Linked DNA regions of Schizosaccharomyces pombe. Changing the gene in region 2 together with the main gene of any one other region gives a genetic interaction. Each region holds a gene or a part of one and is shown on either strand. Other genes may lie near its edges.

Evidence for each region.
Region 1: of spd1 (region 2) and rad26, a mutation in one rescues a mutant of the other (synthetic rescue), as found in Schizosaccharomyces pombe (2 studies listed by BioGRID).
Region 3: of spd1 (region 2) and cdt2, changing one suppresses a phenotype caused by changing the other (phenotypic suppression), as found in Schizosaccharomyces pombe (3 studies listed by BioGRID, with this or other methods).
Region 4: of spd1 (region 2) and rad9, a mutation in one rescues a mutant of the other (synthetic rescue), as found in Schizosaccharomyces pombe (one study listed by BioGRID).

Annotation. Positions count from the first base shown.
Region 1 is NC_003424.3:4,447,024-4,456,032, reverse strand, and holds rad26 (ATR checkpoint kinase regulatory subunit Rad26), read right to left. Parts: upstream 5,429-9,009; 5' UTR 5,188-5,428; intron 5,108-5,187; 5' UTR 4,919-5,107; coding exon 4,169-4,918; exon of another isoform or gene 4,114-4,168; coding exon 3,448-4,113; intron 3,393-3,447; coding exon 2,964-3,392; 3' UTR 2,664-2,963; downstream 1-2,663. Other genes in the region: atd1 (aldehyde dehydrogenase), read left to right, coding at 962-2,473; GTPase Ypt2, read left to right, coding at 6,516-7,118; SPOM_SPAC9E9.06C (threonine synthase), read left to right, coding at 8,565-8,633, 8,692-9,009.
Region 2 is NC_003424.3:5,408,955-5,415,634, forward strand, and holds spd1 (ribonucleotide reductase (RNR) inhibitor), read left to right. Parts: upstream 1-3,488; 5' UTR 3,489-3,534; coding exon 3,535-3,909; 3' UTR 3,910-4,265; downstream 4,266-6,680. Other genes in the region: histone lysine H3-K36 methyltransferase Set2, read right to left, coding at 1-1,860; snz1 (pyridoxal 5'-phosphate synthase (glutamine hydrolyzing)), read left to right, coding at 6,232-6,680. UniProt on the Schizosaccharomyces pombe protein: Regulates the ribonucleotide reductase activity through its mediation of the nuclear localization of suc22, the small subunit of the ribonucleotide reductase. Delays the progression of the G1-S phase transition, thereby ensuring the G1 phase is complete.
Region 3 is NC_003424.3:2,033,268-2,041,056, forward strand, and holds cdt2 (WD repeat protein Cdt2), read right to left. Parts: upstream 2,438-7,789; 5' UTR 2,384-2,437; coding exon 911-2,383; 3' UTR 689-910; downstream 1-688. Other genes in the region: SPOM_SPAC17H9.18C (uncharacterized protein), read right to left, coding at 371-688; mitotic cohesin complex non-SMC subunit Psc3, read left to right, coding at 3,136-3,400, 3,446-3,558, 3,597-3,692, 3,741-4,150, 4,201-5,800, 5,849-6,253; SPOM_SPAC607.02C (uncharacterized protein), read right to left, coding at 6,348-6,618, 6,665-7,033, 7,082-7,137; U3 snoRNP-associated protein Snu13, read right to left, coding at 7,669-7,789. UniProt on the Schizosaccharomyces pombe protein: Substrate-specific adapter of a DCX (DDB1-CUL4-X-box) E3 ubiquitin-protein ligase complex required for DNA replication during mitosis and meiosis.
Region 4 is NC_003424.3:1,710,874-1,718,674, reverse strand, and holds rad9 (checkpoint clamp complex protein Rad9), read left to right. Parts: upstream 1-2,958; 5' UTR 2,959-3,138; coding exon 3,139-3,243; exon of another isoform or gene 3,244-3,296; coding exon 3,297-3,630; exon of another isoform or gene 3,631-3,687; coding exon 3,688-4,301; exon of another isoform or gene 4,302-4,357; coding exon 4,358-4,585; 3' UTR 4,586-4,755; downstream 4,756-7,801. Other genes in the region: bfr2 (traub family ribosome biogenesis protein), read left to right, coding at 955-964, 1,007-1,054, 1,101-1,200, 1,262-2,462; ribosome biogenesis protein rlp7, read right to left, coding at 4,892-5,518, 5,736-5,858; rpl13 (60S ribosomal protein eL13), read right to left, coding at 6,835-7,461; rps1602 (40S ribosomal protein uS9), read left to right, coding at 7,608-7,801. UniProt on the Schizosaccharomyces pombe protein: Acts in DNA repair and mutagenesis. Involved in promoting resistance to ionizing radiation and UV light, as well as regulating cell cycle progression after irradiation. Repressor of entry into mitosis that is activated by chromosome breaks.

The DNA.
Region 1 (9,009 bases), 960 kb from region 2:
CGTTTGTTAATATCAAATTTTCGATATAGTGAATTGTATTTCCGAGTATGCAATTCCCTCTAAAGCATATTACTATTGCACAGTGAGATTTGGGAGGGAAGCTTTGCGTACGCTAGCACATATGAAATCTTGTGATTTTTGAGGGTGTCTCTTCCTTTGATTCGCCAAAATTAAGCATTGACATCATGGGGTAAGGTGTCCTGTTTTGTCATTCGTCGTTGTTTGAATTAGATCATGTATAGGAAATCATTCGTCCAGGTGTCGGTCTTTTGTGTCACCATTAATCAGTAGGAGTTGGAGCTTTGTTTACTAATCATCGTATAAGTCATATATGATTTTTACTATAAATATTGAATTCGCCCCCCTTTGCAGTTCACTGAAATAAGTAGAACAGCACGGTCTTTTCGTTTCTACAACACGCTTGCTATTCTCTTATTAGTATATTCCTCTATCTATAGTCTTTCCTTCACTTCCTACATCCAAATTGATATAGGTTTCCTTTGTGGTATTATTACTAACAACGACAATTGATTGTTTTAATTCATTGATTTTGTCGTCTTTCGGTTTTTATCACATTTTATAAAAACTGCATCCCCCTCTTCTTAAGAATAATAAGAGGCCATTGTTTATTTACCCCGGTCCTTTTCTGACCATCTAATCTTTTCGTATTAGGTGCTCTTTTACTTATAGTTTGGTTTCGCCCATAACTTTTTGACGACGTTGTTTACTTTGGTTGATATAAAATTATTTTATACAATCGTTAACACCTCATATTTTCCATTTCATTACTGATCTTTTGGTTTTGTCCTGTGTTTGCATTTCAATTCAGCTCTGCCAAATTTATCCCACTACTTCATTTTTTATCTTTGGTTTTTTTTTTTTTCTAGTTAATTTTTTAATTACTCTTACTCATTTACGACAACGACCCCTTTTCTCAATTTTTTAATACAAACTTTTCAAAATGTCTACAAAACTCGTTGATCACGTCGAAATTACCGTTCCTACAGGAAAAACTTACATTCAACCTGTCGGTCTCTTTATCAATAACCAACATGTCGATTCCGTTCACGGTGGTCGTGTGAAGGTTTACTCTCCTTCTACTGAGAAACTTATTTGTGAGGTAGCTGACGCCGACGAAGAGGATGTCGATATCGCCGTGAAAGTTGCTCGTGCCGCTTTCCAGACCGATGCTCCATGGCGCAAGTTTTCCAGCGCTCAACGTGGACGTTGCCTCTCCCGTCTCGCTGACTGTATCGAGCAAAACTTGGAATACCTCGCTTCTATTGAGACTCTTGACAATGGTAAGAGTATCACTTTGGCTAGAGGTGACGTTCAAGCTGCTGCCGATTGTTTCCGTTATTATGGTGGTTGGGCCGATAAGGATTATGGTCAAACCATTGAAACCGACATTAAGCGTTTTGCCTATACTCGTCACGAACCCATTGGTGTATGTGGTCAAATCATCCCCTGGAATTTCCCTTTCTTGATGTGCGCTTGGAAAATTGCTCCTGCCGTCGCTTGTGGTAATACTATTATTTTGAAGACTGCCGAACTCACTCCTCTTTCCGCTCTGTGTCTTACCAAGTTTGTTCCTGAATGTGGCTTCCCTCCAGGTGTCATCAATGTTCTCAGCGGTGATGGTCGCCGTTGTGGTAACGCTATTAGTTCTCACATGGACATTGATAAGGTGGCCTTTACCGGTTCTACCGGTGTCGGTCGTATGGTTATGCGTGCTGCCGCCTCCTCCAACCTGAAGAAGGTCACTCTTGAATTGGGTGGTAAGTCTCCCAATATTGTTTTCAACGATGCCGATTTGGACTCAGCTGCTGTCTGGACTAACTATGGTATCTTTTACAACTCTGGTCAAGTCTGTTGTGCAGGTAGCCGTGTCTACGTGCAAGAGGATGTTTACGATGAGTTCATTAAACGCATGGTTGCCAAGGCCAAGACTTTGAAGGTTGGTGATCCTTTCGCCGAAGATACCTTCCAAGGTGCTCAAGTTAGTAAGCAACAGTATGAACGTATTGTTAGTTATATTGAGAGTGGCATTGCTCATGGTGCCAAATTAGAGATTGGTGGTAAGCGTCATGGTAATCTCGGTTACTTTGTCGAACCTACTATTCTCTCCAACGTTACCGAGGACATGGCTGTCGGTAAGGAGGAAATTTTTGGACCCGTTCTTGCCGTCATTAAATTCAAGACCATCGAGGAGGCCATCCGTCGCGGTAACAACAGTACATATGGTTTAGCTGCTGGTGTACACACTAACAATATTACCAATGCCATCAAGGTCAGCAATGCTCTTGAAGCCGGTACTGTTTGGGTGAATTGTTATAACTTACTTCATCACCAAATTCCCTTTGGTGGTTATAAGGAGAGTGGCATCGGTCGCGAATTGGGCTCTTACGGTCTTACCAATTATACTCAAACAAAAGCTGTTCACATCAACCTGGGAATGGATTCTCCCATTTAAGGAAATCAGACGCAAATATTTTTTGTAAAAAAAATAAAAAAATATGCATTCAATGGATAAAGAATGAAGAAAAACTCTAGTGAAGAGAATTATTGGATTTTTCTCTTTATGTTATGAATGTTTACAGTTTTTCTTGAAACTCTTCTATGACGGATTTTCTTTATTATGAATCAAAACGGTTTTGATATTTGAACTTTCAAATGCATTTTATTGAATTTACATAGTGATGATTCTTTATGTTAGTGGTACTTTAATATATTCATTTTCGTTAATTGCTAGATGATTTTATTTGCAGGTAAATATAGCCGTAAGTTTTACTAAAAGAACGGAATGGGGATGTTTTTGTGGTACGCATTCCTTTGGGGAAACAGATTGATTTGTATTTAATTTGCGAGGATGTGGGTGCGGGACGGGAAAGAACAACACTGAAGAAACAAGTATCATTATTTCATTTGAAAAATTAGGGAAATAGATTCATCTGTTTCATTATCTAAAAATTAGTGTACAACTGCTCCAGCTCTTCGGGAGAGACGCAAACTTCCAACAATTCTGTAGTGAGAAAATACATTTCCTCACCCAAATTGCCAAACGCTTTTTGTTCAGTATCGCCGAATGCGCAGCATGCTATTGCATAAACGAAACGAGGTTGTAACGCATTTTCAGCTAACATAAATTTTGATGATAAATCTTCGGAAGATAAAATGTACAGAAGCCGAACAAGAGATACTAAAATCTCTACGCATTCATTTTGAGGGTACATTGACGAAAGGAGTTGCTGATGATACCAAGTGATGGCTAGTCCGATGCATACTATTAAGGGATTGCATACTTTTAAAATCTCTTTACCAATGTTTCCAGACATTTGTATAAACACGGTAAAAAAGGATATGACAAAGCGATGAAGCGTTATCCATTCATTCTAATTTGTTAGAAATAAGCAATGCAAAGATTATAAGCACAATTCGTAAACGTACCAATTCAGGAAAATTAATCCTTTCCCTAGTAGTAACAACTAAAATATGGGCCATAGTTGTGAAAAGTTGCATGAGTGATTCTTGGGATTTATCATCGGCATTTAACAAGTTAACTGAAGCGCAAAACGAAGGAGTGGTGGAACTAATAATTAAACAAACACCACATTTAATCAAAGAAGGAGCATTTTGCACTCGAATGCAGGATTCGAATAACGACGGATCAACCGCTTTAGTAATGTTTGCAAAGTCATCAGCACTTTCACGTGCTATAGATAAGTATAAATAAAGAAAATCTATTAAAACGTAAAACTTTGAGTCCAAAAAATTGCTTTTTTCGTATTCCTTAAGAAGAAAACCACTTATTAAAGAAACGACATTTTCCTGAAAGATAAAGGTGGATGATTTAGGGTCCAAAATTAATAATGCATTAAACAAAGATGTTATAGCAAAGGAGGCATTATATAATAATTTTTTCATTGAATAATTTAAAATCGACGATGATGTTTGAACGACAGATTGTACATAATTGGAGGAATCCATAGATAGATCGGGACTGTATATTAGAGCTTTCAAGTTATTAAACAAACATTCACCTTCCTCCTCTCCTTCAATTGTTTCTAATGAATGCATACAACCACCAAATACGTATGCTAAAGTTCTAGAAGACTAGAAAAGTAAGAAAAGGGAATAAAATTTAACACGACAGTTTAAAAATACTTACAAAATACAAATCTTCTCTTTTTTGTAGAGAAAGTAAATCTTTCATCAGGCTCAAAGACAAACTTGCATCTGATATAGCAATACTAGAACTCACACTATCCGTTGAAGCATCTTCAGCAGTAGCAACACTTGTTTTGCGCTTCTTTTTAGAAGGGCTGTTTTTTGCAGCATGCTTTGTGCTCTTAGCAAGCTGATCAGAAGAAGATAACAATTTATTGTCACCATCTTCTTCATGGGATTTTTTCATAATCGGAGAATTCTTTACATCTCTTTTCATTTTTTTCATAGTTTCGATAGCATCCTGTGCTTCACGCTCATGAAATAGGGATTTCGTTTTTGCGTATTCAATTTCTTTTTTAAGCTCCTCTAATTTCCGTTGGTATTCATCTTGCTTTTGCTTTATAGAATTATTTAACGATTCTAGGGCGGCATTATTAGCTTCGGATTGTTTTAGAAGGTTAGCACGAAGAATTGCATTTTCTCCCGACTTAATTAAAAGTTCTGTTCGAAGGTCATTAGAGGATAATGAGGCTTGTGAGTTTACGGTAGATTCCCGGACTTTTTGAGAAGAATTGGTGTATGAATTTGGAAGATTTAAATTTTGCTTTTGCTTTTCACTCGGTACAACTACTTGAGAACTTTGAGCTTGAACCTGGGTTTGAGCTTGTTGCTCTAATTCATCTAAATTCACGCCTTCAAATATTTCATCCGAACCCAAACTCTCCAAGTCAAAACTTTCATCAGCCATCATTTTGTTTGTAGCTTTCACTCTCGTTTATGCGTAACAATAGTTGTTTGAAGTGATTCCAAATTGTAATATGGGCCCAATGTTTTTCTTATTCTGTAAAAAAGAATTGAATTCATAATAAATCGTAAATTGTTTCAAATACTTTCAGCAACCTTGGTAACTGTAATTATCGTAATTCAGCAATTGGAAAACCTTAACAGTTAGTAAGCAATATTATGCAGAGAAGATAAGGCCGAAAAACCATATCTCTTTCTAGTATGAATACCACATACAAACGAAACACTAATAGCAGAATATGACTGCAGTCACTAAGGCTGCTTAATCGCGTAACTTCCTGTATGAATAATTGAACCCTTGTAGCAATATGAATTGATTTTGCAGAGCACCAACAGATATGATAAATAAGATAGTCTTTTCCAAAATGCGCAGCTATATAAGATGCTTTAACGATACGTTTAACTGCTATGAGTATTTCTTGTGATCTTTAATTTACTTGTTGAACTTGGCGTATTAGTGCATTTTGGTTAGCAATCGAATAGCCAACTTGAAGTTTTACGAGTTACGTAATCGACAATAAGACCTCAAGTACTGTAAATCACTATTAGCCAAAAATCAAGTATTTGAATTGTCAATAATAAAAAATAAATAAAATAAGTGTATGATGTTTGAATGCTTTTAAAAATAAAACATGAGAAAAATATTTTTTATACTTAAATTAAGGTGTTATGACAAATGGCTTCCATCATTTATTCGAATTAATAAACATAAAAGAATTAAAAAAATGAAAATATTATTAAAAAAGTAAGATCGAATTGTAGTCTAACCAAATATATCAATGGATAAAATGAAATAATTTGTTATTTTGTTTTATTGTAGAAATTATTAATTTCAATCTCTATTGAATACTCATAACCTCGAAAAATTTAAAAGTTATTTATTTTCAGACAGTCCAACTCCTAATCGTAGAACATTTTATAGTTTATGCTGGTTTAAACGGTTTATTGTTTCAACTCGAACAACAATGACAAAGCCTAAAATGATGATCATATGAATTAACGTTAAGTTCATTGTTTCTCCCCCATCCATTTACTATATTATCAAAAATAAAAAGGAAAAATCTAAACCAAAACACTTAAAGCGTTAATTATAAGTATGTTTAGGTCAATGACAGTCATATAAACATTGATTAAATTGATCAATGCAGTACTATATTAGTCATATTACCAGTCATTCAAATCGTATAAATTAATCCATGGCTAGTAAATTGTTTAGTGACAGAGATTTTTCTCTGACATGAAATCTGAATTATTTCTCTTGTGAATATCTTTGTTACTTTCTCAAGAGTGTATGTATGTGCCCTAGAATAGTGACTTCCTTTATCAAAACTTCGAGTTTATTGCCCTTAGGAAACGTACATAAAAAAGTTGAAAGTCATGTTTTTTCAACATAAAAAAACACAAACAAAGACTTAAATAAAACTAGTACCATTTATACAATAACATTACTTGAATTAATAAATTTAAGTGTATTTTTGCGGCATTATCTCAAGGGACTCCAGTAGATTCTACCACTTACCACCTGGCAAAAGCAACACTCCTCCATGTCTACAAAATCCTACGATTATTTAATCAAATTACTTCTCATAGGAGATTCAGGTGTGGGAAAATCATGTCTTCTTCTGAGATTTTCGGAAGACTCGTTTACCCCTTCTTTTATCACAACGATTGGAATTGATTTCAAGATTCGCACGATTGAACTAGATGGAAAACGTATCAAACTCCAAATTTGGGACACTGCTGGCCAGGAACGTTTCCGTACCATTACCACTGCTTATTATCGTGGTGCAATGGGTATTTTATTGTTATACGATGTAACTGATAAAAAATCATTTGATAACGTCCGAACTTGGTTTAGTAACGTTGAACAACATGCTAGTGAAAATGTTTATAAAATCCTTATTGGAAATAAATGTGATTGTGAGGATCAGCGTCAGGTCTCCTTTGAACAGGGACAAGCGTTAGCCGATGAGCTGGGCGTTAAATTTTTAGAAGCTAGTGCGAAGACGAACGTCAATGTAGATGAGGCATTTTTTACCCTTGCCCGGGAAATAAAAAAACAAAAGATTGATGCAGAAAACGAATTTTCCAACCAGGCAAATAACGTTGACCTCGGAAACGATCGTACGGTGAAGAGGTGTTGTTAGGCTCCTTATTATTATCTTGTCACATTTTCTTTTTCGCTAGTTTTTGATATTAGCACCGCCGATACGTATATAGTCGTGAAGTGTGTGGAGAGCTTGAAGGAGTGGAGATTGGCATTGCTTTTTATATCTTGTGTTGGTTATCGTTTCCGGATTGCTACTTTGTTTCCTTACTCTTTTCAACTCTACCCGGTTGGGAAGTTTATAATATTTCTCTATATTGTACACTTTCTCTTACTTTTTAATGCTTTCATAACGTAAAATTTATGCCTAATAGCTTCAATCAACTTTTGATATGCTTTCGAGTTGTTGTGATTAGATCGAGTTTACATTTTGGAATATAATCAATTCCCATGTTTTTTTTTTCAACGTCTCTTTTTTCATTGCAATTTCCTTAACATTTCAAAAAGTAATGCCTTTGCTTTTTCTTGGGGCCATTTTCCAATGTTTCTCGCGAATCCTTTTATCAATTTGCAACGAGCAATCAAGCACCATCTAATTCGTCCTGTTGATCTACCTCATTTATTTTTTACGGCTGCTGCCTATTGTTTTAAATGTTTGGGCCACTGAACCAAGTTTACATTTTTCATCATGTTATACCGATTTGATTAGGTTGTCATCAATCGAAACGTCTTTTAACGCCTATCTTTTACATATTTTAATTGCCTTATCTTCATCTTCATTTAAACGTAAGATGACTACTTACCTTGTTACATTGTAGATTTTATTTTATTTTTATCTTGCAACGAGACCACAACAGAAGCCTTTCCAAGATTACCACTTCAGCATCTTAATCTTTTTAAACAACGTATTACTATATGAAAGTCGATGTACCAGATTATTGCCAAGATTAAAACGATTTCAGCAATGTAGAGTAATTTGGCATACTCATACTCTTGTTTGTTTACGTTTTTGTTAACTACGCAATTGCTAACCAAGATAACGATGTGTTACTTTGCGGTAAGTCTCAACTTGGGATTTTACTATTTTCTTTTCATGACAATTTAACGATATGCAATTATATATATATCGATAGTCAGGTTGGACTTAATGTACAATTACCAGCTGATAGCTGATAATTGAAATATGAAACGCAGGAAATTTGATTCAATTTATAATATTTTCATTTTAGGATATATTAAAAATTACGAATACATTTCCGTTTTGGGTGACAAATATAAAACTTAAGAACAAAAAATGTAGCGAAGCATACCGTAAAATGGAGTAGTGTAGTGAGCAATAGCCACGGGTTCAGAAAATAATAAATTCGAAAAAAACCAACTCAAAGAGCTACTATAGTGAAAATTAACGATACTATCTTTAAAATATTTACGTTGGTACACTCAATTTTGTAAACTGTTGATAACACGAAAGATTGCAAGGTTCTCTGAAAAATGGCGGATTTTATTTACCAAGAACAAGCAACGTTCTGTTTTGGGAAATAGCGAAATGTCTAGCCAAGTTAGTTATTTATCGACTCGTGGTGGATCTTCAAATTTTTCTTTTGAAGAGGCTGTGGTATGTCACAAATGCGTCTTACTTATAACTCGGTTTACTAATTGCCATTACTGTATAGCTTAAGGGTTTGGCTAATGATGGAGGATTGTTTATTCCATCAGAAATCCCTCAGCTACCTAGCGGATGGATTGAGGCTTGGAAGGACAAATCCTTCCCTGAAATTGCCTTTGAGGTAATGTCTTTGTACATTCCTCGCTCTGAAATTTCAGCTGATGAATTGAAAAAATTGGTTGATCGCTCTTACTCTACCTTCCGCCACCCAGAGACTACTCCTCTAAAATCATTAAAGAACGGTCTCAATGTACTTGAGCTCTTCCATGGTCCTACTTTTGCGTTCAAAGATGTTGCTTTGCAATTTCTTGGTAACCTCTTTGAA
Region 2 (6,680 bases):
ATCTACTTTATTAGCTTGATTGCTGACTTGTTCTTGCTCATTATTTGGTGTAGTTGTTTCAGAAGGAGTGTCAGAGTTAGAAAGACGACGACGTTTAGGGAAAGAATTTTTACGAAAAAGGTTGTGTTTTGAATGGCTTTGATAGTCATTTCCAAACTTGGAACGTGAACGACTATCACTAGGCCTAGAAGAATGTAATGCTGGATGTTTCTTGCTCAAATCTTCTGTTGAATTATTGATTGCAGATTTTATATCTCCCTTATCGCCACGTTGTGGTTCCTGATCCCTTAAAGGAGGATTACTTTGATTATTGGAGGGTTCTGCGTTCGTTGACTGTGGAGCAACTTGACCAGGCTTCCTTCGGGGAATTCGATAAGCTATCTCCAAAGATTCCCATTCTTTTAAAAGAGTTTTGGCATGATCTTTGACCTCCTCGTTCTCATGGTCGCAAAACTCTTGAACAACGGGCTCAATATTTGAATCTTGGATTTTATTTCTTGTTAGGCGTGGCCAAGATAACATGGTTTTTATAGAACGTAGTATAAACTCAATATCAATGCTGAACTTCTTCAGCATCAAACCAAAAATGTTGTAACCACGTAACGCAATGATCGAACGGCATACACTAGGATCTGAAGTCAAGAAAATGCGTTCCATTAACTTTCTTGTTAATAAGTCATCCTTAGTTTGCAGGAGAACGCCAATCACTTTAGTAGCAGACTCAGATGTCAGAGGAGTAGGTTGCACCTCTTCAATAATTTTGCTAGTTTCGTCAATTCCCTTTTTACGACGTTGTCGACGTGCAGTGATGTTTTCCCAGCTATCCTCTTCATCTTCAATACCAAGAGCCTCTCGGACATTCTCAGGTAGTTTCGATTGAGCCTCAGTTTGCGTCTTTCCGCCAATATACCCTACACAGCAAGGTTCTCCGCAATAACAAGGTTGGGCTTGTGCACCATATCTATCGACATTATAGTCAAAAGTAAGCTCTTCACCGCGAATAATATCTCTTTTACAAAATATACCCATTCTTAGCTTATCTCCTACCATCCATTTATCAACATAACAATTAGGTCTACAAGAGTGATTGCAAAATCTTGCGAGCGACCCCCTTTTAGTAGCATCAATATATTCCCCCTTTTGCAGCATCATGAAGTAAAAGTGTTTAATTCCCTCACTATCGTATTGTCGCATACGTTTACGAAACTTTTGTTCAGGTATAACTTCTCCAATGTATTCGTAGACAAATGTGTCTTTGGGTAAATTGGCATCAGCGCGCAAACCAAACCCTTTCTTTTCGGTTAAGAAAACATCCACCTTTGCAAATTCATGTCTTTGAAAGCGTTGGTTTTGACAGGATGGTCCACAAACGTTATCTTCGTCCGTACACTCTATAGAAGTCATTCTATTAATACAATTGGATCCGTGCCCACAAGCAACATTAACTCCATCTACCCAATGAGGCCGACAATCGCAAATCATAGCTTCGTTTTCTGGAGGCTTACCAATATTGGCGGAAGCATACTGACATTCTTGAATCTCTTCGAACGTAGTTAGCGCCTTATCTTTCGCAGAATCCAGGTGATGAAAAAGTTGAGGAGGAAGTGCCTCTTTTCTAACATATTTGCTTTGAGACCGAGAGGATGCAGACGATGGCGAGGACGTAGAAGGGGAAGGAGCACTTTCGTCTTTATTCATCCCTTCGGCATCCTCTTTACTTTCGAAATCATGAGATGACGAAGAAGATGGTGATGAACCGACTGCCTGGACAGCGATTGTGTCTTTTGACCAAGAAGACTTCCTATCAACGTTTTCCTCATTCAAAGGAGTTAAAACAGAAAGAGATGATGCCGTCTGCATTGTATGATAATGGACAAAAAGAAAGAGAAAGTTAAAAAATCTACAGTTTTATTGAACAAAAAGTAATTGCCGAAGGAAGCCAAAACAATAGAAAGAAGACCAGCTGAAATTTCACCGAAAATCTTCTTTTTAGAAAATTTCCGAAAATATCTCGATGCGTAACATATAGATCTTCTAACGTTTCAAAGTTTCGTGTCAAAGAAACAGTGAGATCAGGAAATTGTCTCAAGGAAGAAGTTGTGGCTGTTGGCGGCGTTCCTTCTTTACTCGCGGAATCCTCGTAGGGGCTCACAGTACCGGAGTGTAAACGACAACTCTTGACTTTAGTGTTAAATATTAAAGAAACCTATTAAAAGAAAAGGCTTTAAAATCTTTACTTTCATTTCATTCAAGCATCTACAAAAAATCACCATCACGCGCAACATTTGAATGCCATTCTTTTCCAGAAATTCCATAATAGTTGTTGAAGAAATAACACTGTTAGTGTAATAAAATTCACTCTGTTTTTTACACTCGGCGCCTTATGTAGCGAATATCTTTGAATTAATAATATCAATCATACTATGTAACTGTAGTAGGTTGTTTATCCAAAAAACATATGGTACGCAAAGATAGACACTAATTATCAACAATGAATGAATAAGAAAAGCTTTTTCAACGAATATTTTGAGTGAGGCAGTCAGCGTGCTCATACTGGATAGACCCAGAACAAGTAAGTTTACAATATGTTCAATTTACAAATCCAAGCATGTGGTATTGAATTATATTTGGTATTCTTTTTGTTCCCTTGGTCTTATTAATGTAAAATCATCATCTACCTGCATCTATTGAAGCAGTAATTAAACAGAAGTTTGAGAATCGGTAAAGAAAGAAACTAGGAATGTATGTAATAAAGTCATTTTATTTTGAAAATGCTCATCCTGTTAATTCTAGGTAGATTCTTTATTTCTTCAAACCCAACCACTTTTGTTAATATTGTTTAAACACATAATATATACATTGGCGAAATTGAAATAATGCTAAAATTTTGTCAGAGCATTAGTCATTGTTAATTTTAAAAAGCTATTAAACAAAAATAAAGGCTAAGAAAAAAAGATAAACCTATTCCATATGTTTATATATGTGTATCTTATCTTAAAAGGTCTTTAACTCAAGCTATACTTACTACAATCTATATGCAGCTACTTGTCCTTCATGGCACGACGGTGCCAGTAAAGTTAATAAGAAAACCATACCGAACAGGGGCCAAGTTACGATGAGACAACATGTGAAGAACAAAGGAAGAAGCGATTTCAAGCTTTGCAAAAGGTTTGACCAAATTTAACGAACAAACGTTTCAGCTGTTACCTTGAAAGCAGTTGGCAATAAAAGAGAAAGCGAATTTAATTGCTTTAAATGTTTTACTTTAACTCTTAGATATAAAGAGTGCGGAAAAAGTGGCAGAACCACAAGAAAACAAGATCTCAATCGCAAAAGCAATAAAACTGCAATTCCAAATTTTGTAGATTTTCTACCATTTATGAATAACGTGGGTTAGTGAAATGTAAAGAGATCCGTGTTCGATAGGCATTCCCCAGACAAATTTGACTGCTTTAAACGTCACAAAGCCGAGTAGCAAACGCTCCCACAACCAAACACTACACAAAGGTTCGTCGACAATTTATTTTGGAAAAAATGCACAGCAGCAAGCGAGTTATGACCACAAAGACTCATGTTGAGCAGCCTGAGTCTTCAATGCGTCCTCAGCTTCCCGAAAGCATTCAAGGCTCCTTAATGGACGTGGGAATGCGGGTTCGTAAATCAATTTCCACCGGATACAAGTCGAAACAAACCACGTTTCCTGCCTATAACCCACCGCTTTACAACACTGTTTCTGAAAACATTGCTTTAAAAAATACCGCATTTTCTTATGAGCCTAACGGTACTAAGCGTCCATTCGAGCAAGCAATTCCTAATTATAACTGGGCCAATCCTCCTCAAGACTTTGAAGAACCGGAATGGTTGAAGCCGTTTGACGTTGTCATGGAGGGTACCAATGAGAGATTATAAGCTAAATGTGAATCTCGTATATCTCTTCTTTAAGGATAATTTGACACCAATCCTCATAGTTCCAATTATTCCTTCGTTCATTAGTCTTTGACTTTGTTGATTCCCTATACCATTAATACATTTTATTATTGGTTTTGTGAGTGACGGCTAAGTGATTTTCTACTAATTAAACCCCCTCTTCTTTTGGGCATTTGTCTCTCCTTGTTAATTAAACTCTTTACATCTATGAATGATCTAGTCATATCTTTTTTTATTTTATCTTATTTGCTTATCGTTTTCTGCTTGACCAACTTATAATGGATTACTTTGTTGTCGTTGAATATCTGAATAGTAATTTTTTTCTAATACGTACATAATTTTTTGAAAGACTCATTCCTCGTATTTCCTCAGTAAATGTCACTTTTTTGGTGTACATGTAGATCGACCAAAGTAACCTGTTGCGGGCGACTTTTGTAACTTGTTATTTCTACTTTAAATCTTTTTCTTTTATGATGTTAGGGCGTTGGTAGGGGTTGTAACGTAAAAGGAAACAATTTTTGATATTTTCTCTACGGCATGTGAAAAGTATTACCCAACATGCCACGGAATTCTACGCTGTTTCAGTAATAAAATTTTATTATTATTATTATTATTATTTTTTTTTTGAAAAGATGTAATAAAATGCTTATATTTATAGATTACAAAGAGACAGTAATAACGTTACTCAGCTAACTAAAAAAGTGCAAACTAAACAGCGAATATGGCAAAAAACAGTCATATTTAAAAAAAAAATAATAATTTGAGAGGGAAAAATGGAATAATTTATTTAAAAACAAAAGATACCATAAAATCAATTAATCTACACATAAAATTTACAACTAGGATGTTATTTTGATAAAGTTTGTTGTAAATTTTTTGGTACTTCTACTCATCCGCTATTAGCTTGAAAAACAAAAGTAATTACTACCGCTTTATGGCCAACTAGTTTCATAGGGAGGATGACTGCATACAAAAACGCTGAAACCCTTTCAAATGAGTCTATAAGACAGCAGTGGAAAACGAGTATTTCAGTTTTTAGGTACATTGCAGTGTTATAAATAATATGTGTTTCTTTTCAGATTTTTTTTACTAGTCAGTTATTGTTATACCAATCAATTCCTGGTATGTTTATATTAAACAACAAACAGGACACGAGGAGTCCTTGAAGTATTACTACATTTCCAGTTCAACGATCTTGTTTCAAGGTAAACAATGTTAAACATTACTGCATAACAAAAATCTAATGACAATTGAAGCAGCGTATATAAAGCGATGCATAAAGCCCTTGTTAGGAAAGGCTCTACTTGCGGCTTCTTAATTAGTATTGATAAAATCTATTTCCATGGACATGCAAATATCTCGCAAGATGGATACATCGATCATTCTTCGGCGACTTGGATACCTCAGTCCCCACAAAATAAGATAAAGAATATTGGGTGTCGGTAGTCAGTATCCTAATCCATCAAAAAATTACGGACATTGCAGACGCTGATCGGTAACATACCAAGAAATTATCTGGTAGAACGCTTATATCCATATTTCCGATGCAATCGGTTCACGCCTGTTACCATTGATCGCTAAAAAATGTATGCAACTTTCCATAAAGGTAGTAAAGACATGACTTATACGCCGGATATATGATGAGCAATTTCATTTAGTAATTCTTTATTGTTTTGTACGTTTTAAAAGTATGACGAAGCATCTCAAAAGTATGAATTGTCGGATAATTGCAGCATGTAAATAAATAGGAGGATTCTTTTATTAAAGTCGACTTTAGGAGAGAAACAGTTTTTGTGCTTTCCCTCCAAGCATAACAATTTGACGTTAGGTTTAGCAGGTCGTTTAGATAAAGAAAGACATCCGCCTCTTTGTAAATCGCTTCAACATCAATTGTAAGTTGCTTACATCTTCTACGCGCCTCCACTGTATACTTATCGGGATCAATCAAATGGTTTCGGACATTTACTTCCTAAAGTAGTGTATGCTACGCTTCGTTATATTACATCTTGGTAAGCATGAAAATGTATATAAGGCGAGTGTTGTTTGCTATTCGATTAATTTCTTCCATCATCACAGTCACATTTTGTGTGTTGACATAAAAACTTGGTCAGGTTCTGAGTTTCGAAAGGTTCATTTTTTTGATTTTTAGGTGTTTTCTTTAAAGGATCCTTGTATCTCATTTGTCTAAAGGCAAAGACCATTATATCTATAGAAAAATCATTGTTGCATTTTCGTTTTACCACTTTATACATCCTATTGTTTGCTTGGAAAAAGTAAATTTTAATTAATCGCATCTACTTAATCATGTCTGCCGAAATTAAGGGATCTACTCAAGTCAAGGCTGGTCTTGCTCAAATGCTCAAGGGTGGCGTTATCATGGATGTCGTGAATGCAGAGCAAGCTCGTATTGCTGAAGCTGCTGGTGCTTGCGCTGTCATGGCATTGGAGCGTGTTCCTGCCGATATTCGTGCTCAGGGCGGTGTTGCTCGTATGTCCGATCCCTCTATGATCAAGGAAATTCAAGCTGCTGTCTCAATTCCTGTCATGGCTAAGGTTCGTATTGGACACTTCGTCGAGGCTCAAATTTTGGAAAGCATTGGTGTTGACTATATTGATGAGTCTGAAGTTTTAACGCCTGCTGATGATATCAACCATATCGAGAAATCCAAGTTCACTGTTCCATTTGTTTGTGGCAGCCGTAACTTGGGTGAAGCTCTGCGCCGTATTTCCGAGGGTGCTGCCATGATTCGTAC
Region 3 (7,789 bases), 3.4 Mb from region 2:
AAGTGCGTTAATATGATAAAAGTGTTATTACCTTTGTTAAAAATACGTTAATCGTGGTGTTTAAATGAACAGAGTCGAGTATATTAGTAACGTCAATGAGCATTTTTAGGAACAAGGCTCGTGGCATGTCTTAGTTTTATAAATTTAATATACCATAATCCATAAAAATTAAAATGTTCGAGGCCAATTGAAGTGCACCAAAATCATTTCGACAACTTATGATCTGTAGTTTGCGTTTATTTTAATTGTTACAACAAATTGCCAAATAAAGTGTATAAGTATAAAATGAGTAAAATAAAAGCTGAAATAGCTAGCCACATCTATTTTGTATAGAATTAGTTATTATTGTTTGCAACTTCGTAAAATATCCTTAGACCATAATTATAAAAAATGAACGTATAGGGCTAAATTGTATATTATGAGAAATAAGAAGTTCTAGTAAATAGTTGCTTGCTAGTAATAATTTAGCGCTAGCGCTGATTAAATAATGGATTTCTTTTAAGTGTTGAATAATCATTATTAGTATATAAAAAACTATTAAACTGAACGTTTGTTTAGGAATAGGAGTTCGATTAACGGTGAGGAAAAAACATCTAATTTGGATTGCATATATTGACTGGTATTTTGATTGCTTCCAAAAAAAAAAATAATTGTCAACAAAAAAAAATTGCAAACTAATTTTATGCATTAAGCTTTGGTAAACAGAAAAAGCTTATAAAGCATCCAGCGGAAGCAAAAAAATGACAAATCAAAGGATTAAATAGATATGGAAAAAGAAAGAATCCTAATAATATTCAAATGCATTAGGGAATAGTCGTTATTTTTGACAAAATATTATGAAGCCTCACTTATAGTCTTCTTTTCAAGAGAAACAAGCCGAATATTGAGACATTGCTATGCGTGATAATTTTCATTTTTCACTAAATCCCCAATAAAAAATCTCCGAAAAATTCTTTTCTCTAAGGTTAGCCGCACTTCCATGCAGAGAAGAATTCCATACGCGAACGCTCCCATCGTCTGAAATACTTGCCAATTGACCTTCACTAGACCAATCAACTGCAGTAACATCCTTAGTATGACCACCTGTGAGCATAGCAGACGATGAACAGTTTCTTGTTGTGTCAAAAACAACAACACCACTAGTCTTGTCTTGAACGCCTCCACCGCAGGCTAAAGTTGCTCCGTCAGGACTGCACGCCAACTTTACGTAGAATGAAGAAATTCTGAGTCTAGGGTCTTTGTAAGTCTTGCAAAATCCGGAGTTTAAGTGACGAGATGAATATTCATAAATGATACTATCTCTGGAAGCAGCATAAATACGCTCACCGTCAGGAGAAGTACAAACATTAGTAACACCAAAATCGCGTTTTGAAGTAGTTAATTCGGGAGTAGTAGCAGCAGGTAAAGGTCGGACGGTATGTACAGTTCGTAAATCCCATAACTTTAAGGCCGAGTTTGCAGAGCAGGACGATATAACTTGCGAAGTAGATTGAGGGAGCCACGTAGCTGAGGTAATTGAGCAATCCCTTCCCGAATTTTCATGTGCTTTTCTTATCCTTAACACTGGTTTCTGAAAATGCTCACCGTCAATTGTTATCCCGTGTGTTCGCATATCCCAAAAGATAATGGAACCATCCCGAGAACAACTTACCAAATTATAAGGAGAATCATTGCAAAAATTAACCTGCTTTACTGAATGAGAGTGGTATCCATCGACACCTCGTCGTCCCAATCGAGTGATGCATTGTTGCGTTGACAAATCAAATACCTTTGATGTTTGATCGCCAGATGAAGTAGCTAATAATGAATCATCTTTAGAGAAATTAACACTAAATATAGCATTGTTGTGAGCAAGCCAGCCATGGATTCTTCGAGCAGACGGCTGATTTTCCTCATTCTGTCTATCGTAAAATCGAGAATCAAACAGCTCAAGAGCTCCAGTCTCAGTACATACGGCCAATAAAGACTCGTTATTAGCAAATCCAAGACAGAACGGGAGTTGGTTCAGCATCATTAAGCATTCCGAAGGTCGTGAGTAATATGTTTCGAGATTGAGTCTACCTCCCACATGACGAGAAGTTTTTGTGCTAAAAGGGTGCGACCGGGAACCTCCCAGTTGTCTGATTAAAAGTTCTTTACAAAGTTGAGCAGGTTTTTTTTGAATATGAACTGGCTTGTGTAACAGGGGTTTCTTTTCAAACACAATGCGTTTTCGAGGTGTTTCAATTTTTCCTCGGCTTTCTAGGAAGTCGTAAAGCTTATGTTTTTTGGAAGGTGCTGCGGGAGAAGAATCAGGAGTCGGAGGTAATGAGTTATTTGCACGTGAGGTAATATCTCGAAGCCCACCAACATCACTCAAAGCTTTTCCAATGTCCATATTCATGGTATAATCATGAATCTTAATTTAATCCGCTTTTGAGGTCGTGTGTTCCAGTTTAATTTAAGTAGTGGATGGTAGCGTGAGTATATTAGATTTTCGTGACGCGTGAACGCGACGCGTCCGTGATCCATCACATGCACCAAACGTTACCCAGAATATGTTAAAGTAACAAAACGCGTATTTCAAAGTCATGTTTAAGCATATTTGCAATTACAGATGGGTACAGCCTAAAATTCTTGAGGAATAAATAAAAAGGATAAAAGTTTTCTAATTACTTGTTAATTTTTCATAAAGGATGACTTTCGTATTTCTGCCTATGATATAATGAGCGCTCGAAAAGTTGTCAAATATCTCATTTATTAATAATAATCGAAAATATTACGCGTCAAAAGAATCTTTCACTCACAATTCTATACTTGTATAGTCAAATTACAATCTCAACTCGCGGAGTGAATATAAGTTAGCTGTTCACCTTGCAGGACCCAAAAGAAAATAGTATATATTTGTTTCAATCAAGGTAAAGAAAATTTTAATGTAATAACTTCGTTAAGTATAAATTTCCTTTCGTATCCTTGGATTTTCAAACACATTTATCCTGTCTAACACTATTGAACAAGACAAGTTCGTGCTTTTATCAACTACAGGTTGTGAACAACCTCCATTGTACAACACCAATAGTGCATTCATTACACTCTTTCCAATATTTCTAATTACACCTCTTAATTTATTTATAAATTATTTCTTTTTTTCTTCAAATGAGTGAGTCTGTTACTACTGGATCTGATGATGATGGAGGAGACAGAGAATCTTCCCCTGTAATGCTTTCTCAAAGTTTTGATCCCATGAGCAGTAGTTCAAATTCATCTTCTGAAGAAAATAGCGATGATGATTACGAGAAAACGATAAGCTCAAAAAAACGGCATCCACGGCCAAATTCTAAAGGAGTAAATGTAAAACGCTCTAGGAGGAACGCTATAGTTGAAGAGGATCCTCAAGAAGAAATTTTTAACAACTTATTTGGTAATGATAAAGTCCTTCTTTTTTTCAGCTACTAACACTGAAAAGCTTTTCTGCTTGACCAAAAAGTTGATACCATGGACATCGCGGTTTCGTGGTTTGCTGACTATGCAAAAGATAATCAATCTGCCCTTGCAAATCTTATTAACTTTATTTTAAAGGTAGAGTCATTCTTTTCTTTCTTTACTAAATATTTTAGTGCTGTGGTTGCAATCGTGCCATTAATGTGTTTGATGTTCAGGATCAAGATTCTGCTTCAGCTACTCTATCTCAAATTCAACTTTCTGTAGAGCGTGTAAGTGCTTTTGCGAAAATACTTTATTTGTATATTAACAACTTTAAGACTTCTACTCGTGATTATCCTTTAAATTCAAAAAATCTTAAGTTTAGGAATTTCAGAAAGAGATTGACCGGTCTTTTAAGCAACTTTGTGTCACAGTTGTCAATAAGAAATTACTTGTACAATAGCACTGTTTTTGAAGATATTATGTCTTGGGTCGTTGCCATGTCTTCTTCTACGATGAGACCTATTCGGCACACCGCCACTGTTTTCTGTTTGAATATTATGACTTTTTTATGTGAAAAATCTAAAGAACTATTGAACGAGCATGCAATTGCTACCAAACAGCTCGAGAAAGAAGAAAAGCGCTCTCGTGTAAATAGAAATCGCATCAACGAACTTAATAACAGTCTTGGTGAAATAGTCAAGCAACAAGATACATTGACTACATACTTAAATGACTACTTTGATAGGTAAAGATCCCTCAAACGCTTTAATTTATTTATACTAACCTTTATATTAGTGTCTTCGTCCATCGATATCGAGACGTGGAGCCTAAAATAAGGGTAGATTGCTTACAAGAGCTTGGGGTCTGGATTAATACTGTTCCAAGCATATTTTTTTCAGGAAGTTATTTAAGATACCTAGGATGGATGCTTTCAGACATAAACACTACCGTCAGATTAACTGTAGTTAAAGTTTTGCGCAAATTTTTTGAGACAGATTCATTTATTGGTGGATTAAGACATTTTTCTTCTAGATTTAAAGAAAGAATACTCGAGATGAGTTGTGTGGACGCCGATATTGGAGTTCGTGTAGCCAGCATTCGTTTGTGTAACGCTATGAGGACTTGCGGATTTTTAGAAAATTCTGAAATTTTAAAAGTGCTGAAGCTAATTTTAGATATCAATCCAAGGGTGCAACGTGAAGCCGTACTGTTTTTATGCAAAGTGGTTGACGAAAGTGTGAATGAAAAAATTGATTTATGGGGTGAAGAAGACTATATTCTAAAGGCCTTTTCTCAGACTTCACTTACTACATTTTCAGTTCATTGGATAAAATTTTCCCAAATGTGTAAACTTTTGGAGGAGGTTAGATTGTCTTACCAATCGAGCTTTGATTATGATACATTATTACGAATCTTCCAAAAAAATGGTAATTTCATTACTCCTATAACACAAGCTTTACTTAATGCATGTGAAATTGATTCAATCTATCAGTCATGGGAGGATATTAGCAACTTCGTACTTTTTGATAATTATACCTCGACTCTAAAAGATCCGATAGACAGTATACTTTCTTTCTGCAAGCTAAATGATTTTCAGGAATCTATTCTTTTACAGCTTCTCTCTGCTTCAATCCAAACTGTCTGTAATAACAATTTTATCACACCTAAAACGGTGCATAATAAGCAAGCGGCGGAAACGACCAACGATCAAAATAAAGATAAGGACTTACTTTATTTGAATCTTCTTCCTTACATTAATTCAATAACTGAGAGAAATTCTGCTTCACCAACACTTCTTCATGATTCTCTTCGTTTGTTATTCTCAATGGATTTGACAGAAATGACAGACCCTCAACTTTCCAGACATTTTGAACTTCTAATTAATAATTTAAAAAAATTTTTCCTAACCAATAATGATCTTCAAATTATTCAAGGTTGCACGATATTATTTTTACGGTTGGACTCTATTCCTGCTTTGAAAGAAGATTTGAAGCTTCTGGTTACTGACATTTGCGACCAGACGGTAACCGAATTTTTAAAGAATTTTGGATCTTTTAATATTCAAGATGCTGTAATAACAAAAGATGAATTTGTTATTTTTGAAGCTTGTTTAACAAGAATCGAGGGATGTACCTCTCTCAAAGATTTTTCTGACTATCCTGAGTTTGACATAATATATGAAAGGCTTGTTTCGCTTCTTTCGCGGGTTCCTAATAGCTATGAAGATACATTGAAGTTTTCTGCAATTAATACTTTACAGAGTCTATTGTTTTGGTTCTTTCTAAGGAAGGATAACCCTGCTGATGAGGAAAAAAAGAAGGATGATGAGACTAAAGTTTTTAATTGTTTGATTAATATTATGAATAATGACAGCTCTAAAATTTTGCAACTTCAGGTATACAAAATCAACTTATTATTTGATTTAAGAAACTAACTTGACCAGGCAGCCCGAACTTTTCTGGAAACAGTGATAATGAAAGAAGGTGTTAAAGCATCACATTACAACGATGACAATCGTGTATCTGAGGAGCATAACTTTTTAAAACCTCAATTTTTAGATGCTCTTTTAAAAATACTTGAGGGATGGTTATACACATATGCCAAAGTTGGTCAATTCCCCTTCAAGCGTTTGACTCAAGCAAGTTCTCCACATACACAAATTTCTTTGGACAAAAATCCACTTAATAGAAGGCTATTGGAACATGTATGTTGCGATTTGACTAGTAAATTATTAATAGTTGTTTCATTGTCAAATACGATAACACCAGAATTTTCACAACAGTTTTGTGAACTAAGAGGGCACTATGGACCGAAATTATCTGCTATTGTGGATGAGTTTTTGAATTAATTAAATTTAGATTTAATGCCTGCTGTATATTTAAAGTAATTAATTATTTTTAAGTCAGCATTAGAAATAAATTCTTTTTTCATTATTAAAAAGATTATTTCCGCTTGGTTTTCATTAATTCTCTATATTTCTCTATAAGTTCCAAACGCTGCTTTCCTAGAGCTTGGCGTCGTGCCATAGATTCTGTTTGACCCATATTATTAACTTTGGGAACATTTTCCAAGTACTTTGTCTCTTTAATTTTTAATTCCGGAAGTTCAGGAGGAGCTTGCACAGTTTCTCCAAAGGAAGGTTTTGTTTGTAAATTAGCCCACGGATCAGGCGAATTTTTTCGTTTTTTTCTAGACTCAATTTGGATAAATTGTCTAATATGTTAGTTTATACGAAATGAAATTGGTGATATACACATACCCAGTAGTATCCGCCTCCCATGTTTTATCTTCAAAATTTTCCTCAATTTCATTCCAGTCTCTTTCACGCTTCTCTTTTCTTTTCGCTATTTTTTTCTTTTCTTTTTTATCAGTAAATTCGTCTATTTTGCTCGGCCCAGACTTAAAAGATACTGGAATAGCCTTATTTACGCGCTGACTAAATTCACTAAGGCGTTCACCGGGTAATCTTTGAATTTTCCCATAATCTTTTTTTTTCTTATTTTTAAGGTTGCCTTTCTTTATTTCCTTCTTTTTAGATTCATGGTACTCTTTTTGCTGTAGCAATCGCTTGAATTGCTTTGGGAAGTTGTCATCTACACTTTCATCCTCCTTGGGAGCATGATCGAGTCTATTAACCAAATGTTAGTAAAAACATCTTGCTATAGAAATTTTTTACCCAATCTTTTTCCGTTCAGCCTCAAGAACGGACCTTTTCTTAGTCTTAGTAGGCATATTGCGCTTGGATAGTAAACACAAACGAGAAGCAAGTAATAAAGGAAAATAGCGAGCCTAGCTCGTATCGCAATTTAGATAAATTTGGATTTGTTTTAATAGATACTCATGGGATAACAGTAAAGTTTATTAATGAATACAAATATCTTTTTTTATTTTAGTGGACAAGCTGTAACGCTTTAGAGAGAAAAAATTTCAGAATCAAGTTGGAAGCAAGCTTAGTGAAGATACTTTTCGAATCATACACGAAAAATATATTAAAAAATATATATATCAAACACCAAATATACACTATCTTTATTAAAATCGTAATGCTCTTATATGTAAACACTCAACTATCTTTCTTGTTGAGTATTTTGCGAGCTAATTAATAAAAATTAAAATGACTACAAACAGAGTACTTGAAATTATATAGAAAGCGAAACAGTACAAAATTACAATAACAAAATAAAAAATTCGATAACAATCTGCTTCCATAAGAATCAAATTTTATTCTCGATTAAAAGAAAACTGTTCCCAAAATCCAAAAGTTTAGATGAGCAATTTCTCTATTGCCAATTTAATAGCTTGAATTTGAGGAAGTAAATCACTAGCCTCATTGGTAGTAATGCTGGCTGAAATCACCGGTCTACTTACACCACAAGCACGTCCC
Region 4 (7,801 bases), 3.7 Mb from region 2:
CGAAAGCGATTCATTTTAACTCATCGATTAATTCAAATTTTGATGTGTTAGTCTAATCCTGGATTTATTTACATGGGCAAAGATTTTTATCAAGGACAAATAGTATTTCAATGCCCAATTCATTTGGTTCCAGATTTTTTGAAAAACTTTTTTTTAAATGTTTTTATTTTCTTTCACATATACTCTGTTACCGATTCGATTTAAAATATTATTGAGCAAAAGCAGTATGCAAGGGTATTGGAATAATATTGACAAAAGCAAGGTATGAAACTTTAAAAAAAACAAATTAGATTTTATTTTATTTTTTTAAGTATAAGAGTTTACGTCTCGTTCTTTTACAGCAGCACCCCATTTTCGAATCGTATGTGTAACGAAATTTTTGAATTTAATTGTAAACATTACTTAAAATCAACACTGTTTTAAGATATTTTTTTGCTTTTTAAAAATAAGCAACAAGTTAAATAGAGACCGCTTTTATTGGAAACAGCAAGCATACACTTACCAAAACTCAACTCCTATTCTTATAACAGTTTTAGAGAGACATAATACTCGTTAGCATAATACACAGTCAAACAATAAAATAATAAATTGGTAATTGTTTAGTTACATTGTCTAGACAGAAAGAAGCAAGATGTGGGGAATTTCCGAGTTTTTACCTTGAGCTTTAACGAACAATTTTTAGCCCTTTAAAAATCGATACTTTAGTCGGTTGCATTCTCTACGTCGTTTTACTAATATAATCAACTCTCGTGCTGTGTTCGTTTTTTCAACTTTTGGTTGCTTCATAAAAACCATATTATTTATTTCAAACAAAGTAATATAACCTCGTCTGTACTAGCTGAATCCGATAAATGCCTTCAAACTTCATTCTTATATTTATTTCATACAATGATAATTTTGCTAACCCACACCCCTTCACTTACCCAGTCCCAGACACATCAAAATTTGCTCAAAATGGGTAAAGGTAAGTTCAATAAGATATTTTTAGGTTCTAATAAATCTTTAGTTTCTTTAAAAGATGAATTGGCAGGGATGCTAAACCCTCAACCGCAGGGTATGTTATTAACGAAAAATTCCGGGATTCTTACTCACATAAATAGAAAGAGACCCTGAAGCTTTAGAGGACGCATTCTCTGATAGAGAGGACTCTAGCGAAGAAGAAAACGATACCTTAGGGAGAGAACATTATGTTGATGTTAGGTATGTTCAAAATTTTTACTTTTGCGTATTTGAGCTTATACTAATGTTTCATATTTTATAGTGAAAGTAAATTACGCTCAAAACAGGCTCCTCAGTTAGACCCAAAATTTAAAGGAAGAAAAACGTCTCGCCAGGAATTACTTAATAGCGGTTCTTTAAACTCTCAATCTTCATCACCATCTGAAGAAGAAGATTCGGAGGAAGACGAAAATGATGCAGTTTCAGAAGATCACGAAAATTTTTCAAGCTCAGAAGCTTCATCAATTTCTGAGGAAAATGAAGATGACGACCAATCTTCTGCCATTCCTGAAAAAGACATGGATCGTTTAAAAAAGATTATAAATGGAGAGAAAAAGCTATCTGATCAAATTCGTACATCCGCCCTTGAAGACATGAAAAAGGGTTTAGCTTTGAAGGAGCAGATGCGTTTTTACGATAATGTTTTAGATACTAGAATCCGTCTTCAAAAAGGATGTAGTCAACTTCTTTCTTCCAGCAACCAACTTCAAGGTGATAAAGTAGAAGCCCGAGATGGTTTAGTATCTTTTATTCAACACACTTTACAGCTGAGGAAAAACTTACTTATTGACTCTGGAGTGGAAATTCTTGACAGTAGATCAAAAAGAAAAGAGAATCCTGTTAGTCTAGAAGAAATTGCTTTAGAAATGAATAACCTTGACGACTCTTTGAATGAGTGGAAAAATGATACTTTAACCAAATGGCATAATCGGGTTCAAGCAGTGCAAGGGATTTCGCAATCTAACAAATTCAAGGCTCTAAATCAAAGTATTGTTCAACAAATCGAAAATTCTATGATTAACAAGAAAGATTTGGTCGAGCGCACTAGAATTGATTACAGTGACCCTAACAACAAAACTTTCAATCCCGAAATTTACAACGACACGGATTTTTATCAATCATTATTGAAGGATTTCATTAATTCTAGAATGGCAGACTCTACTCGAGATGGCACTGTTCGTTGGATGGCTACAAAAAAGCAAAAACAGAAGAAAGAAAACGTTGATACTAAGGCATCCAAAGGTCGAAAAATAAGGTATCACGTTCATGATAAATTACAAAATTTTATGGCTCCCATTGAAGTGACTGTATGGCCGGATGAACAAACTGAAGATTTGTTTAGTAGTCTGTTGGGTCAACAATTAGATTTATCAGAGACAGCTAATGATACAAATACTTCAAACTTCGTGGAGAAGGATGATGAACTGATCTCTTCCAACGACGGATTTTCTCTCTTCGGTTGAAAATAAGCTTGTGCGTGTTGGATAAGCTTCACTATTTGTCTTTTTTTTAATATACGCAAGCTGTGCTAAACATTTAGGGTGCATGATTATTTTTACTTACAGTATATCTTTTTTCGGTTTTAAAAAGGGCATTCGCGGATTTTGGTTCTATTATAATATATTTCGTTTACAATTATTTAGGTTAATAAAAAAATTTAACATATATATGGTTACATAGATGGTCACAATGTCGGGCAATTACAAGTAATAAAGGGTTATCTTGGGCTGAAGGTTTTAGTTTTTGTGCACTTTAGTATTTTAAGCATAAAAGTATGTACGTTTATATGATGTACAGTTGAACTCTTTCTGCTGCAAATTAAAAGCAGCTATAAGTTTCTTCTTATTACAATTCATTGTGTATATACAGATTATTTTGCGATTGATGTTGGCCATTACACTTTCGTACAAATTTCGGCGCGCGTGTCTATACTAATATAAGTGCGTTAAAGCAGGTGCTAGAAAACACCACATTATAGATTTACCTCTGTATATACCAGTTTCAATTCTGTTTGTCAAAAATTGTCGAGATTTATTTACTTCTATTAGCATGAATTAAGAAATTAATCGTCATATCGACTAGAAACTATCGTTATTCGTTCAGCATTCGTCTACATCAATTCACGTACTGGTATATAAAATGGAATTCACTGTTTCAAATGTTAATCTTCGGGACCTCGCAAGGATCTTTACAAATCTTTCTAGAATCGATGATGCTGTCAACTGGGAAATTAACAAAAATCAGGTGTGTTGGAACTTTTTTCAAACCTTACTAAACATTGAAACTAATTGGTAAAGATAGAGATTACATGTTTAAATTCTTCTAGGTCAGGATTTAGCATGGTGACTTTAAAAAAGGCATTTTTTGACAAGTACATTTTTCAGCCGGATTCCGTCCTGTTGACGGGATTGATGACTCCTACAATACGTATTCGTACGCAAGTCAAGCCCATACTATCTGTGTTTAGAAACAAAATCTTTGATTTCATCCCGACTGTCGTCACTACCAATAGCAAGAACGGTTATGGCAGTGAATCTGCAAGCAGAAAAGATGTGATTGTCGAGAATGTTCAAATCTCAATCTCTACTGGTAGCGAGTGTAGGATTATATTTAAATTCTTATGCAAGCACGGTACGTAGTTTGTCCGTCTTATTATTTTATTTGCTCTACTAACGTTTATTCATCAAGGAGTGATTAAAACATATAAAATATCATATGAACAAACCCAAACTTTACACGCTGTTTTTGATAAATCTCTTAGTCACAATAATTTTCAAATAAACTCAAAAATTCTAAAAGATTTGACTGAACATTTTGGTCAGAGAACGGAAGAGCTTACAATTCAACCACTTCAAGAACGTGTTTTACTTACAAGTTTCACAGAAGAGGTCGTACATAATAGAGATATTTTGAAGCAACCTACCCAAACAACTGTTTCCATTGATGGTAAAGAATTTGAACGCGTCGCACTTAATGAGGGAGTCTCTGTTACCCTTTCTCTACGTGAATTTCGTGCTGCCGTCATTTTAGCAGAGGCATTGGGAAGCTCGATTTGTGCATATTACGGTGTCCCAGGAAAACCGATACTTTTAACTTTTGCAAAAGGGAAAAATTCCGAAATTGAAGCGCAGTTCATTCTTGCAACTGTAGTTGGATCAGATGAACAAGAGGTGTCATCTATGATGGGAAATAGATGGCAGCACAGTTCAACACCAGCTTCTCTGTTCAATTCAGTAGAGCGCAACAACTCATTGACTGCTGTAGCACATAATCCCCCTGGATCTATTGGATGGCAAACTGATGTATGTAATTCGGCTTTAGTACTAAGTACAATAATTTATTAACATTAACTTTATAGCAAAGTGACTCATCCAGAATGTTTAATTCTGCGCTTGACCGAAGCGACGAAACTAATGGCATTAAGGAGCCATCAACCACAAACGATGCTGGTCAATCATTGTTCTTAGATGGTATTCCTAATGAATCCGAGCTTGCTGCTTTTAATAATGATGTGAACGATGATGCCGAATTTGGACCAACGCAAGCTGAACAAAGTTATCATGGCATTTTCTCTCAGGAAGACTAGGAAAATCCTTCTTTGCTATGGTGTGTAAAATTATGAACATTTACAGGTGCTTGTGACAACCTCATAAAACACAGCACTCATATTATATAATGTACAATATTTATCAATAATTTAGTTTTTTTTAACTACAAAATTACCCTCATCATACGATACGTTACATAGTAGTTCTAATAAATCAATAAGATAGTGAATAATGTAACCCAATTAATTAAATTCCAATCCACGGCCTATAAAAAGTCTAATATACATTTTTGCATTTTCATCTGAATGCAAAATTTAAGTCATTACACGAACTCAAAGAAAGTTTTAAACTTGTTTCTTAATCAATTCGTTAATTTCTTCTCCACAATAGCCAGCCTTTCGACCCTCATTAAAATGTTTGACCTTTTTCTCCATCAAACTGTGTTTAACTGGAGTCAAAGTGAATGGCCATAAGAATTTAGTAACTTCCTTAAAATGAGAGCCTACATTGTAAATTTCATGAATGATATCTTCAATGGAAATAACATCATATTTGCCCAAGGCCTCCTCAATTAATGCATTATCAGAGAGAGCAATACGCTGACCATTGATCTTACCAAAGCCACGTTTATAAATGAGTTCACGAACAGAATGTAAATTGGGAATACCATACATAACATAAGGTTCGACGATTCGAAGCATTTGAGCAACGGCTTTATTATTTCGCACAAAAACGGCATTGTTAATTCGAGAAAGGCGTAATAAGCGCAGAACTTTGCGAATTTTAGGAGGCATATTCTTGACTCCGGCAATTCGAATAACGAAAAGAAGTTTTGTTTCATCAGGCACGAAAATGTCTCCTTTATTTTTCGCAGATCGATTTAACCTAATCCGTTCTCTTTCTCGTTGGCGGTAGTTATTAATAAAAGTCTCAGCCCTTTTGAAGGTTTCTTTACGATTTTTCTTCTGGGCCTGGAGTAAAATTAGTAAAATGTTTTTAACAATATATAAAAATTGATGAAGTCAAAGGTTTAAATTTAACCAATACAAAATATATGAATCAGCCGAAAGATGGTATTTTGGAGCAGCATCGTCGAAACTAGCAATCCAAGAGTGAAAGGTTCATCTTTTTCATATAAATATGTATATTATGGATATTTCAAACCTGTAGAACAAGCAATTCACATACCTCTTTTTTGGCAATAGCCTGCTCAACACGTTCTTTCCGAGTACGCTCATTGACCTTGCGCTTTTTTAAAAGCACCTCAGGTTCAAGCATAGTCTGTTGTACAACCGGTGCATCCTCCGCCATTTTATCGTCTGTTAGTAACGAGTAGAGGGCACGTTGGGACTATAGACAGACGAAAAATTATAGCTATGAAATGTGACTGCTTTAAGACACATAATGTTCTTCGTTACAATCCGCTAATAAGCGCAAAAAAATTTTGAAGCGATTTTCAAATAGGCTTTGAAATGTGTACTTAAAGGTAAAAAATGGTGTTTAAAAACTATGGCAAATTTAATTTGACAATATAACAAAAATTGCACAATAGTAGATTGCTCCTTCCATATCGAAGCATCTCTTTCTAATAACCAAGACCAAACTTTATCTAATTGACCTTGTACCATTGAAATTCATGTTTAAAAGATATACAAACGATTTTAATAGGAATATTATCAATGTTGAATGTAATCACCTGGTGCTCAAACTCCTCAGGGACGTGGGATATGGAGATGATAAATTTTGCACAACATTAATCGAAACAGTGCGAAAACACATGAGAAGTTGAATAATTGTATTATTAGCCCTTAACTTCTTAGGGTAGCCGTTTAAATGTCATTCATCCTAAACTGAAAAAAAAAATGTGACATTGATGAAATATAGTTTTCCACACGCAATTTATGTAAAATAATCATATACATTTATAAAAATCAGAAAGCAATTATTAAAAGGAAACAATTGATAAACACAAATTTACATATACTGTAAGAAAATGCATGAAAGCCCTTGCAATTCAAAATGAAATTACAAGGTTATTCTATCAATACGACTGTACGACTTACAAACTCAAGAGACTACAATATTTACCACGCTCTTAAACAGCCACCAATGTTATATGCAAATAGGAATTTTAGTGAAACTACTTAAAATTTTTTAAGTGAACTAGCTTCCACTTCTGCTACTGGATACAATACTGTTTGCGAATGTACATAAAAAGCTTAAGTTACCCAAATTCAAACAAAATATTTATACTCCAGTTCTGCCTGATCCATTAACTACAGACATTTTACTTCTTCTTAGCCTCGGCCTCTTCAGCACGCTTCTTTTGGAAAGCAGCGCGAGCACCGGCATAACGAGCATAAGCACGCTCGTTGCTAAGGGTAGAGAAAGCGTTGAAGTTCTTGGCTTCTTCAGTAATGGGCTTGGCCTCCTCAACAGCTTCTTGAGTGATGGGAAGAACAGCGGCAACATCAGTTTGCTCAGCACCAGAGACATCAGTAGCATCTCCCTTCTTGGGTTGACCAGCCTTACGGGGGAAAACAATCAAGTGAGCAAGGTAAACTTTGATGCGCTCAACGTTACGTTGTAAGGACTCCTCAGAGCGGTTGCGACGGCGGTGGTCAACGGGGATACCGATGGTAGAGGCAACACGACGAGAAACACCAGCAGCCTTGAGCTCCTCAAGAGTAAAACCACGACCAGCACGAACCTTCATGTTGTAGCGGATGGTGGGAGGCTTAACGGCGGGACGAATAGCCTCAACGGGACGAGGAGCGATCTTGGCAGCCTTGGTTTGACGAGCTTGACGACGACGCAACTTACGGCCAGGTTGGTTAAACCATGTCTTCACATAACGCTGCCAGTCCTTGTGGAAGTGAGCGTTGGGCAACTGTCCTTTAACGTGAATTGCCATGGTGGTTCAGGTGAGTTGGTGTGGAAGGTAAGTTGGTGCTCGGTGGTGAGGACTTTTTTTCGTAGTCAACACAAACGTGACTGCTTTTTTTCGCAACACTACAGTAACCCATTCTGAATGTGCTAGAGCTTATACAGGAGCCAACCATGCAGTCTGTTCAATGCTTTGGAAAAAAAGGTAACGCTACGGCCGTCGCTCACTGCAAGGTCGGTAAGGGTTTAATCAAGGTCAATGGAGCCCCCCTTTCTCTTGTTCAACCCGAGATCTTGCGCATGAAAGTTTACGAACCCATCTTGGTTGCTGGTGCTGACAAGTTTGCCGGCGTCGATATCCGTGTTCG